Linked DNA regions of Saccharomyces cerevisiae S288C. The protein of the gene in region 1 interacts with the protein of each later gene in a biochemical or structural test. Each region holds a gene or a part of one and is shown on either strand. Other genes may lie near its edges.

Region 1 (5,908 bases):
AGTCATTTTTATTCTTACGTCGTATTTATCTAGATGTCCTTTGAGCAAGTGGCCTACAACGAAATCTTCAAGTGTTGCCTTTTACTTTGGCATAGAAGCATCACGACATTTATATATACAAGCCTGGTGAAGTGCCTTGCGTTTACTTTAACCTTTAGGAGAAAAAAATTTTCGGTGTTGGTTTCTTTTTTTCCTTTCGGTGCAAAACTGTGGAGGAAGATGGCAATAAATTAGTGAAACGGTAATGCCGTGTGGACTGCATATGCCGGATATAGCATTTATCAGTCACGACAGAGCTGATTATCCTTACTTGGGTGAAGTTGAAGTTGTTGTGATAAGGTTAGAATGCAAATGAAGCTTTGTCAGCGCTGAGAAAGAAAATTTTGTTTTGTGAGCCACTACTATCACGTGCCATTACCATTTTAATCAGTTATGAAATAGGGGAATGTGTCATTGAGGGAAAATGTAATGGCCACCAAATGAATCAGAGGGTCGGATGAGAACACACCCTTACTAACTGCTGTTCATATCTCACAGTTGCCATTGATAAGCTCTGGTGGGAAAATACCCTTGATTTTTGGTAGCACATATTGACATAACAAAAGTCTTGACTTTGCCAATTGGAGAGATGGCCACTTATAGAGGAAAATACTCGTAAAAATAATCATAAACAGTAAGCCATGTCAGTATCTTACAAGGGAACAATTTCTAAGACACATTCTGTTTTTAAACCAGAAAAAGGAAGGTATTATATTTACGGGGCCCTTGGGTGTCCATTCACTCATAGAGCCATTCTTGCCAGGTCTTTGAAGAAATTAGAACCTGTTCTAGGGCTTGTGTTATCTCACTGGCAATTAGACTCCAAGGGTGCCCGTTTCTTACCTGCTCCACACCGGCCGGAAAAATATAAAGAGAGATTCTTTACTGCCACTGGTGGCATTGCTTCAGCTAAATTAGACGAATCTGAGGAGTTAGGTGATGTGAACAATGACTCTGCAAGGTTGTTCGTGGATGGCGCTTTCGACCCGGTGGAAAATATATCAAGGTTAAGCGAGTTGTACTACTTAAATGATCCTAAGTACCCCGGTACAAAGTTCACTGTGCCTGTTCTGTGGGATTCTAAAACAAGGAAAATTGTTAACAATGAGAGTGGCGATATCATAAGAATTTTGAACAGTGGCGTGTTTGATGAATTTATCCAAAGCGAAGAAACGAACGTGATTGATCTAGTTCCGCATGATTTAATAGACGAGATTGATAAGAACATCAAATGGGTTCATCCGAAGATTAATCTTGGTGTCTATAAAGTCGGATTAGCAGAAAACGGAAAGATTTACGAAACTGAAGTAAAAACACTGTTTGAAAACTTGCAGAAGATGGAATGTGTACTAAAAGAAAATTATAAGCGCTTAGAGGAGCAATTCAGTGGTAACAAACAGAAAATCTTGGCTAAATATTTTGTTTTAGGACAGAGGTTAACTGAAGCGGATATCAGATTGTATCCATCAATAATTAGATTTGACGTCGTGTACGTGCAGCACTTCAAATGCAATTTGAAAACTATAAGGGATGGTTTCCCGTACCTTCATTTGTGGTTGATTAATCTATACTGGAATTACGCAGAGTTTAGATTTACTACAGATTTTAATCATATTAAGCTCTTTTACATCAGGATGGAAGTAAGTAGGAACAAGATCAATCAGTTTGGTATAGTGCCATTAGGCCCAAAGCCTGACATTTCTAGATTATGAAAACTTCTAATATTTTCTTACACACACATATATTTATATGCATGGCTATACTTCAAAAGAGGTTGTCACTTCCATTTCCATGTAGGTAAAACTCGTGTATAGACGGAACACAGACTTCCCTAGTTTTATTGACTTCATAGTCTCTGCACCATTCAATTATGTCTCTGTAAAAGAGACTCTTCTTTATATCGCCCTTTTCTATATTCTCCATCTCCAGTTCTTTGAAGCATTTTGCTTTTCTCGATTTATGACAACCACACGGTTTTACACTCTCCTCTCCATGTTCTACCATTTCATGCCTCCAGTCAAAAAATGGTTGACTGTATTCCCTACTTGAATCCATACTTGATTCAACAAGGTAGTTTCTCGAATTCTCAGGTAGTACTGCCACCCTCCTTAAACGTTTCTCTCTTTGTCTTGCTTCCTTTCTTTGTTCTATTTTTGGCGGAATGGTAAATTTCACAGGATTCTTGGATCCATTCTCATTTTCATTCAAGGCATTTAAGTCCAAGGAAAATAACCGTATGCTCACGTTGGACCCTTCAAACGTGAAACTATCTTCACTCAATATACTTCCTACACCGCATTGTTCCTCGTTACTACTTGAATCCTGTATATCTGAGAGAGAGGTAAAAAATGAGTAGGTATCTCTTTCCCCCTCACATTCGTAAGTGCCGACTTCTTTATTCAAACAGGCCTTTCCCATTTCTCAAAGACCTCTTTTCGTAACCTATTTAGTAATGATGAAAAGTATTAAACAGTATTTTCAAGATAAGAATTTTATTATTTTGTACCATTTACGATACACATAAACCCCAGAAAAAAACAACTTTATGGGAAAAGGCGAATAGTACTCATAATATACAAGGTAAAAGCAGGCGTATCTCAGTCATACAGTTCAATAGAGAAAGGCATTTTTGGAATATCATACATTTTATCTAGCAAGTGGAAACAGACTGTATATTCCCAAGAATCATCGCCTTTTTATCACAACGTCAGCCTCACAACTAATTCGCGTCAAAGCGCATTCATCCTCGACATTCTCAAACGCGAAATATCGTCGAAAAAGGTTAAAAAGAAAAGAGAGAAGGACAGAAAAAGAAAAAAGTAAAGTAGAGCTCGATCTCGAAAAAAAGAACCATTGCGTTCGTTCTTAACTACGCCAAGAAGTTTTTGAAATTTCATCCTCTCCACTGAACAATAATACTATTATTTAGTAACGATATAGAACATTTACATACAACGTTCTAATATTTTGGCTTCTATCATCGCTTAGAAATATTTGGCTAGGAAACATTAGGACTAATGAGAGACTATAAATTAGTAGTATTGGGTGCTGGTGGTGTCGGTAAATCCTGCTTAACCGTGCAGTTTGTACAGGGAGTTTATTTGGATACGTATGATCCAACGATCGAAGATTCTTACAGGAAAACCATCGAGATCGATAACAAGGTATTCGACCTGGAAATTTTAGATACAGCGGGTATAGCACAATTTACTGCAATGAGAGAATTATACATAAAGTCAGGAATGGGGTTCCTGTTGGTATATTCAGTAACAGATCGGCAATCTTTGGAAGAATTAATGGAGCTAAGAGAACAGGTCCTTAGGATCAAAGATTCCGATCGCGTTCCAATGGTTCTAATAGGTAACAAGGCTGATCTAATCAATGAAAGGGTAATAAGTGTGGAAGAAGGTATAGAGGTAAGCAGTAAATGGGGTAGAGTTCCCTTTTATGAAACAAGCGCTTTGTTGAGGAGCAATGTGGATGAAGTGTTCGTTGATTTAGTTAGGCAAATCATTCGGAATGAAATGGAAAGTGTTGCAGTTAAAGACGCAAGAAATCAAAGTCAACAATTTAGCAAAATCGAGTCTCCATCAACCAGGCTCCCTAGTTCTGCGAAACAGGATACGAAACAATCAAACAATAAGCAATCATCAAAAGGTTTATATAACAAATCTTCACAAGGACAAGCTAAAGTTAAACAATCTACTCCGGTTAATGAAAAGCACAAACCGTCACATGCCGTTCCGAAATCTGGTTCTAGCAACAGGACAGGAATTAGCGCTACTTCACAACAAAAGAAAAAGAAGAAAAACGCTTCCACTTGCACTATTCTATAGTCACTTAATTTTATTATAAATGAATCAAGATATCAGATAAAAAGACTTTACTTGAAATAGTTTTATTATAGTTCTAAAAGGTTTAGTTTAAAGTATTAGCATACGTTGTATAAGTTTTTAAAGAAATCAATTAATAATGTTTGAAAATAAATTTAAACCCAAAAAAAATGAAATGTTAAAAATATGGACGCAACCGGAATCGAACCGATGACCTCTTCCTTGCAAGGGAAGCGCGCTACCAACTGCGCCATGTGCCCGCAATCTATGGGATTTTACGGTAGATGCTGCGTTACGTATAAAAAATATTAAATGAACAGATCCACACTCTCGTAACTAAAGCTCACACTGTAGTTTCTTATAGTTTATGTTGATTGATATAATTAATTCAGAGGGTCTTTAGTCTCAGATATACTTCGCAATTACTTAAAAGAGTAATCGTTAATGTTTTCCCTCCAACATAGTCGTTATCGTTTAGCGTGCGTTATCAAGTTTCAACGATGACAAAATGATTGATTAATTAGTCCATTTTTCTTTCCTATCTAGTAAAATCAAAGTGTTTCTTCTCAACCTGAGATCTAACTCACTGTATTGATATTGAAAATCTGAGTAGTCTTCTAAAAAGCACAGAAATTAGGCCGATGTTTTCGACTTCATATCTCGTCGTGAGGCTGTTTCGCACGCCTTTTATTTGTTTAGATCGGACATTTAGGGTGATTCATATCAGGTCATATTGCGGCATCTCATCTCAAGAATAAAATAGAATTACTGTGTTTGACAATGGTCTATCGTCCACTGATGGAACAAAAGTCGGGAGCAATTCTTGTAAATGGAAGAATACAAAATGGCCACCAGTAGCGGTGAAAATGGTTTAGTAGTCATCCCTCCTTTAATACGAAACATTCAGTGGGTCTCCGTGAACGTCTCTATTCTATTTTCGATAATCGATCCACTGACTCTCAGGCGCTTCTTATATTATCTTTCTCGATATTATAAATCAGCCGATACAGGGTTACACCAAGTGTCTTTACATAATCCTGACTATCATGACCTACTTCCAATCTTATCATCTAAATGACTGTACATTCGTTCTTCTCTCATAATGCTTGCTTGCTTGTGAAAAATGGGTGAATAATTGCATTATTGTTGGGATTCCACTGTTGATAAAGATCACATATAACATTATGGATAAGGAATATACTAGAAACTCTCCTCCAGAACATAGCGCCCACAAAAGGGAATCGATATCTCTACATAATGCTATTATTTTTTCTTCCTTGTCGCACATTATCTTACTTCATCATCAATCCTCGTGTCTCTGCTTACATTAAGTTTGATGACCGTTTCTCAATCTTTATGACATCTTCTTACACAGTGTATTGCAAAGTACTAGTAATATGAATTCAAATCGATCGATGGTAACTGATTCTTATTGCAAAAGATCTGCCTTGCTCTAACCTTTTTTCTGAGATAGAGAGTTAGCTCTACTTCCACACCAATATCTGAGCGTCGGACAGGATTGTGAAAAATTGGAGGCATAAAATGTAAAAGCAAAGCCATAGTCCATAGTGCACAGGAAAATAGCATTGTTTCACAAGTCCTAACAGATAGATAAATATAAACATGTACATGGCCAGATGTGGCCCCAAGAATAATGTGCTGTGTTTCCCATTTCAACTTTCCTTTCTATTTTCAAAACGACTAATAAATAAGCGTTTCAAGTATACCCTACAAACTGAAGATGAAAAGAATATGATGGGGAGTTTAAGTAAAAATAAAATAATAACACCTGAAGACGTTGAGTTCAAATTAGCACAATTACGAGAATTTTCTAATACTTTAAAAGAACGCATTCACAACACTAAATCGGTGAATTCAGATGGCCACCAAAGCAATAGTATCGCACCAATCTCAGAAGACTCAAGGAATGTTAATGTCACCAAAACATCATCTGTTCCTAATGAAGAAAAATCCAAAAATCTATCAGATTTGATTCATTCTTCGTTTTTAGAAAAAATGGATCACCTCGTACCAAA
Region 2 (6,460 bases), on another chromosome or scaffold:
AAAAATCAAACCTGCTATTGGGACCCGTACTTCCATTTGGATTTACCAACTTGATTCTTCTATCAGAGACGAAGGCCCTTATAAACCTTGAACCTGAGCTTAAAATTTACATATTACTTTCTTGTAATCATTAAGTATGAATTTGCAAGGCGTTTACATGAAAAGAGGTCGGCATAGTACATATGGAAATTTACTGGTATGCAATCCATTATGTGTTATCATATCTTTTTTACATAACAGGCACTTCTGAAATTCCCCCTCTTGTATGCCCCTATTTACTCCTTTTTAAATTCTTCGGATTATTATTTAGATCGTGATTCTCTCTACTCAAACATTTCCTTGAACTTGTATAACGGGGAAATAAATCTGAAAAGCAATACATTTGCGCACTGTTAAAACTGGAAAGGAAGAATGACAACCAGCATACTCGATACTTATCCTCAAATATGCTCCCCCAATGCTTTGCCAGGTACTCCCGGCAATTTGACTAAGGAGCAAGAGGAAGCGCTTTTGCAATTTAGGTCAATCTTGTTAGAAAAGAATTACAAAGAAAGGCTGGATGATTCTACGCTATTGCGATTTCTACGGGCAAGGAAATTTGATATCAATGCTAGCGTTGAGATGTTTGTAGAAACTGAACGATGGAGGGAAGAATACGGTGCCAACACTATTATCGAGGATTATGAAAACAACAAGGAAGCCGAAGACAAAGAAAGAATCAAATTGGCCAAAATGTACCCTCAGTATTACCATCACGTTGATAAGGATGGGAGACCATTGTACTTCGAAGAACTAGGAGGAATTAACTTAAAGAAAATGTACAAGATCACTACCGAAAAACAGATGCTAAGAAACTTAGTCAAGGAGTACGAATTATTTGCCACGTACCGGGTCCCAGCGTGTTCGAGAAGAGCTGGCTACCTTATTGAAACTTCGTGCACTGTGCTGGACTTGAAGGGTATCTCACTTTCTAATGCTTATCATGTGCTTTCCTATATTAAAGATGTTGCAGATATCAGTCAAAATTATTATCCTGAAAGAATGGGTAAGTTTTATATTATACACAGTCCATTTGGTTTCTCGACGATGTTCAAGATGGTTAAACCCTTCTTGGATCCAGTAACCGTGTCAAAAATCTTTATTCTTGGCTCTTCTTATAAAAAGGAATTATTAAAACAAATTCCAATCGAGAACTTGCCTGTTAAATATGGTGGTACATCTGTCTTGCACAACCCTAATGATAAGTTCTACTATTCCGATATTGGTCCCTGGAGAGACCCTAGATACATCGGACCAGAAGGTGAAATTCCCAACATTTTTGGTAAATTTACTGTTACCAGCTAACTATGATACAGGCCTTCGTCGTAGCTTTCCGTGAATATAGCATGCATACTCTATAATATGTATATCTCTGTATCTAATAATAATTAATGACTTTCATTCTTGAACGCGTTCTGTTCGATAAAAAAGAAAGGTATCCAAACAAACGCCATTTATGAAAACGGAGGAAGAAACAACAAAATAGTAGGAATAACTACTCGGTCAGACTGAAAACTTTATCCGTGCATACGTCGTGGTGTTTATCTTTGATTGTATCATATTATGAGCTCCAACAATGAACCGGCCCAAAGTCGAACATCATATTTCAAATTGAATGAATTTTTGTCCAACGTTAAGCATTACAAGAATACCTTTAAGGGTGAGATTCAGTGGTGTAATAACCTGTCCTTAAACGACTGGAAGACACACTATCTGCAAATTACCAGTACAGGTGCACTAACCCACTCAATCGATGAGTTAACAGCAGACTCTACTAATATTCAGCCAATTATCAAACATCTACAGCAATGTAGAATCGAGATTATTAAGGATAAGCATTCCTCTTTTAAGGATATTAATGCAAATTGTAATTTTATAATCCAAGTAAACACCTCAGGTAAAGATAATAAAGTTTACCTGCGAGTTAAAAGTTGGAGTGATTTCAAGAAATTGCTAACATGTCTGATCTGGTGGAGCTCAATGAAGACAAATGGTATATTTAATAAGTTTCAAGTATCGCGACCTCTAGAATTTAAAAGCAAAAAAATGGCGAAACCAGAAAGTTTGCTGGTTTACAAATTGAATGTTTTTGGGCCCATCGTTAAGAACATCGTCCTTCCGCCAGCAACAAATATTTTAGAAAGCCCTGATATAATTAATAATGATGACAACAGCGTAGGTTGGTTTTCCGCTATGGGGGTGCTTAAATCAAACGGCATGCTAGATCTTCTTTTACAGAGTGACGGCTCTCTGATTTACTCATTGAATATTAGCCAGCTTTTAAGATCAGAGATAAGAATTCTGGATTCATCTGTTTTACAAAGTGAAAACAGTTTGTTTTTAGGTGAATTGCCATTACTAAGGAGCCAGTTGGGCCTCGAAAAGTTTCGCATAGAAAATATTGCCAGTGCTGCCACCAACTCTAGTGATATTTCTCAAGAAATTATTGTAGAGTTTCCCTTAAGAATAGACCTGGAGGATTGTTTTATAGCGTTACAATCGTTCGCTAGGTCGGAATACTTATCTATTACTGGCTCAGATAAATCAAATGATATGAAGATATCGAATAGCTTTAAAATTTCCATACTGGAAGCTAATTTTCAGTCAATCAATTTAAATGACAAGAATAATACGCCATGGTCAATATTCACAGACATAACGGCCTGGGGCCATACATGGGCTAGAACATCCATGGTTTCAAACTCCTCTAATCCATTTTGGAGAGAAGAGTTTCAGTTCAATGAACTTTTAAGACTTACTAATTCTTATCTGGAAATCAAGCAGTTATTCCACGATCTCAATAATAAAAAACGGTTACGATTGATAGGCAAAATAAAAATCACACAAGAAATAATAAATGATACAAGATATAATAAGGAAACAAGACTACCCATCATGGACGTTGATAACAAAAATTTTCAAATAGGAACAATCTGTATTAAAATTTCTTCAAATTTGAACTTCATTTTACCGTCAACCAATTTCGTTAAATTGGAAAAACTTTTGATGAACGCAAACTTGTCCATGGTTTCCAATCTAATTTACAAATCTTCTTCATCAATGGAGAATGATAACAAATTGACGCAAACATCCATAATTTTTCTCGATATATTCCAATCTTTGTCAAGAATAGAAGAATGGTTCCACGTCCTTATAGACAAAGAATTGGCTAAAATTGATGGAACGGTTTCAAGAATAAACCAGAAAAATTTAGACTCAAAGCATGTTTTCAACAGTTTATTCCGTGGTAACTCTATCTTAACAAAGTCGATTGAACAGTACTTTTTCAGAGTGGGTAATGAATATTTGAGTAAAGCGCTTAGTGCAATACTAAAAGAGATCATTGAGTCAAACAAATCATGTGAATTGGATCCTGCTAGAGTAAAAGAAAAAGATGAAGTAAAAAAGAGGAAAATAATTGCCGACAACTACAAACGATTGTATTCTTGGGTTACGAAGATTTGGAAAAGGCTGTATGCAACGAGTAATGACCTGCCGATTGAAATAAGAAATGTTTTAAAAATCTTTAGGCAAAAACTAGAGATAATTTGTATCGATGACACTTTGCAAATAATTTTGAATGGTATATCAGGATTATTGTTTTTAAGGTTTTTTTGTCCAGTCATATTAAACCCTAAGCTATTCAAATATGTTTCTCAAAATTTAAACGAAACAGCAAGAAGGAATCTTACCCTAATAAGTAAAGTTTTACTTAATCTGTCCACTTTGACGCAGTTTGCAAACAAAGAGCCCTGGCTAATGAAGATGAATAACTTTATCGATAAAAGACACAATGACTTATTAGATTACATTGATAAAATGACGCAAAAGAAACTAGATTTTAATTCAAAGATATTGAACCTAAGTTCTACTATTTCGAGACCCAAATTGGCCATTGAACAAACGATGTTGGATGATTTGCCTCAGATTCCTTATCTGCTTGATAAGAATTTGAGAGAAACTGAGTTTGTTAACTTGATTGTTAATTTCAGTCAGGAAGATATGACCAAGATGGAAAAATACAATCACATGGATAATGGTGGGAAGGGAGAATTAATCGAAGAGGAGGGCCTGTTAAGCGGTAGCAGCCTAAATTTGTCTGTGGATAAAAAAGATTTGGATTCACCAATTGAGGTTAAGCCAGAAATTGGAGAGTTAGAATTTGAGAAAATAACTGAAAACAACACGGAGATCTTCGGAGATGATTTAATGAACCTACTGAAAAGCGATGATGTAGGTTCCAGAAGCAGAGATTTGGATAATGGCGCTAATTCAGGCATCAAATTTAATTCTATAATCCCGAAAGCAGAAGAGGAAAAGCATGCAATGAAAGAATTGGAGCAAGAGTCATGTTTACTCTATAATAGGATTAATCATATTAGAAAACGGTTGTCAGGTTATGAATGTGCTTCCAGCACTTTGTTTGAAGACAAAAAATACTCCATTTCACTCTCACATAAAATTTTTTATGAAGAAATAAAGGAGGGAAAAGAAATTGTTCTTAAACTACTAAATAAACCAACAAATGAAAACTCTTCCGCAAGATTGCAGAAATTCTTCACAAAAGGTGTCTCTAGTAAATCCAATAACACAGTTGGAGATAGTTACTGTAAATTTTTGACTATTGATGTAAGTGATGAGAATCCCAAGAGTAGCAACAAAACATCGGTACATGGAACATCATCGGAAAATGGAGCCAAGGATGATTACTTGACGCTTCCAAACTCGCAAGGTAAAGGTAACTTGGGGAATAGATTTTCCCCGACAAAGTTATCTAGGATAATGAGGAAACCTCCTAACGCAGATGTTCCTAAAGAACAAAATTCCCGTAAGCTGACAAGATGGTTCAAAAAGAAAAAAGAAACAGGGGGATCTTAATCGTAGAAAAAAATGTTCACTTCATATTCTTTCCTTTGAAAGTTTTTTTTTTTTTACTTCTTTATTCACTACTTGTAACAGTATATAGCGGGTTGTACTATCAGCAGAAAAAAGTAATTCATAATTTTTCAGAAAGATTTCTCATAATATAGTATATAAAAAAATGCTTCGAGAGGAGATGATAGACAGCGATAAGTATATGGAAATTTGGAAACCAAACAGGAGATACAAATGGGTATATATTATATTTAATAAAAACGAACAGATGGCGATCCAGAATGTGGAAATAAATAACAAAGTTGAACATCATACGGTTATTCCAAGGTGGCGAGAATGTTAGCCTGCAAAGGAACTTGCTAGTGACATCTCAATGAAAGATTTTTTCCTCCCAGCACCAAAGTTTGGTTTCGAAGACTGTTGCTGTTGTACTGGCTGCCTTGGTTGGTGGAATTGATTTGTATTTGTACCTAAAGGGAAATTTAGTGATGAGGAAGTGTTCGAATGTGATAATGATGAGGAGGTGTCCCCTGTATCGTTCGGACAACACGATGATATTTCACGGGGCCGATTATTTGAAAACCTTTCAATACTTTCTTCTGGGTCAGCAGTCAAAGTATCCAACCCAGGTGAAACGTACTTTTCCAAGCCATACAAATGTGTTGGTATGGCAATGGCAGAAGACCTTGATCTTGACCTGGGTAGAGAAAACGACCTTGAGTTGCAATGTTGAAGTGAGTTACTAGAGAATTCTGAATTGGGTGTTTCACTTTTCAGTAATACGTTGTTTTTCTTTTTAGTACACGCACCGCTAAAGAGCTCTGGTATAGACTGTCTGGAGGAGCTTGAGCTCCTTCCGTTCACTAAAAGGCCATTTATATTGGTATTACATTTTTTTAGCGGGTTCCTCATTGTGGTATTGTTCGATGAAGATGAAGTAAAGTACGACGTTGTTTTGGCCTTTCTCAAGCTAGGCATGCCTCCATATTTGGAGTCGACAGGGTCATGGACAGTAGAAGCTATGGAATTTGTATCAGAATTTGCCTCAGATACTGAGCCGTTTCTCGATGGAGCTAATTCTGACTCCGCTGGGAGTGCTTCATCTATTTTACACAGTGGATTCAGTGTCTGTTGACATTTAGCATTACACGGAGATGAATCAGGCTGAAAATTGAAGCTACTAAGCTTTGCTCTCAGTTCTTCATCTGCATCTTCTGTGTCACAGGCCTCACAACATGGGTCCTGAACAGCCCTTTCGAAAAAGTTCAAACAGTCTATATCGTCGATTGGACCCCGAGAATATTCATCGTTCATATCTCCTGCAGAAAGTGGTTTGTCTGTTGTTTTTTCCATCCTCATGTTGGGTAAATGTAATAATTCTTCTTACTTAGCACACACACCTGTTCTTTTACTCGAGTTCAGAACACATTAATCGATAACAAACGCAACAGTTAAAATGAGAATTGAACAAGAAACTTCTAAGGGTGGAATGGAGAAAAAAAAACCTCTGTATTTAGCGCCATTCGCACCAATAATACATTTTCAT

Evidence for each region. The genes of interacting proteins can lie anywhere in the genome.
Region 2: of the proteins of RSR1 (region 1) and BUD2, one has a biochemical effect on the other in vitro, tested with the Saccharomyces cerevisiae proteins (one study listed by BioGRID).

What each region holds. Positions count from the first base shown.
Region 1 is NC_001139.9:792,641-798,548, reverse strand, and holds RSR1 (Ras family GTPase RSR1), read left to right. Parts: upstream 1-3,056; coding exon 3,057-3,875; downstream 3,876-5,908. Other genes in the region: cystathionine beta-synthase CYS4, read right to left, coding at 1-6; GTO1 (omega-class glutathione transferase), read left to right, coding at 681-1,751; YGR153W (uncharacterized protein), read right to left, coding at 1,804-2,457; CCM1 (Ccm1p), read left to right, coding at 5,496-5,908. UniProt on the Saccharomyces cerevisiae protein: Ras-related protein which binds GDP/GTP and possesses intrinsic GTPase activity. Involved in development of cell polarity during the cell division cycle, and essential for bud emergence.
Region 2 is NC_001143.9:264,602-271,061, reverse strand, and holds BUD2 (GTPase-activating protein BUD2), read left to right. Parts: upstream 1-1,602; coding exon 1,603-4,917; downstream 4,918-6,460. Other genes in the region: YKL091C (phosphatidylinositol/phosphatidylcholine-binding protein), read left to right, coding at 412-1,344; MBR1 (Mbr1p), read right to left, coding at 5,254-6,273. UniProt on the Saccharomyces cerevisiae protein: Stimulates the GTPase activity of BUD1/RSR1. Participates in the regulation of bud-site selection.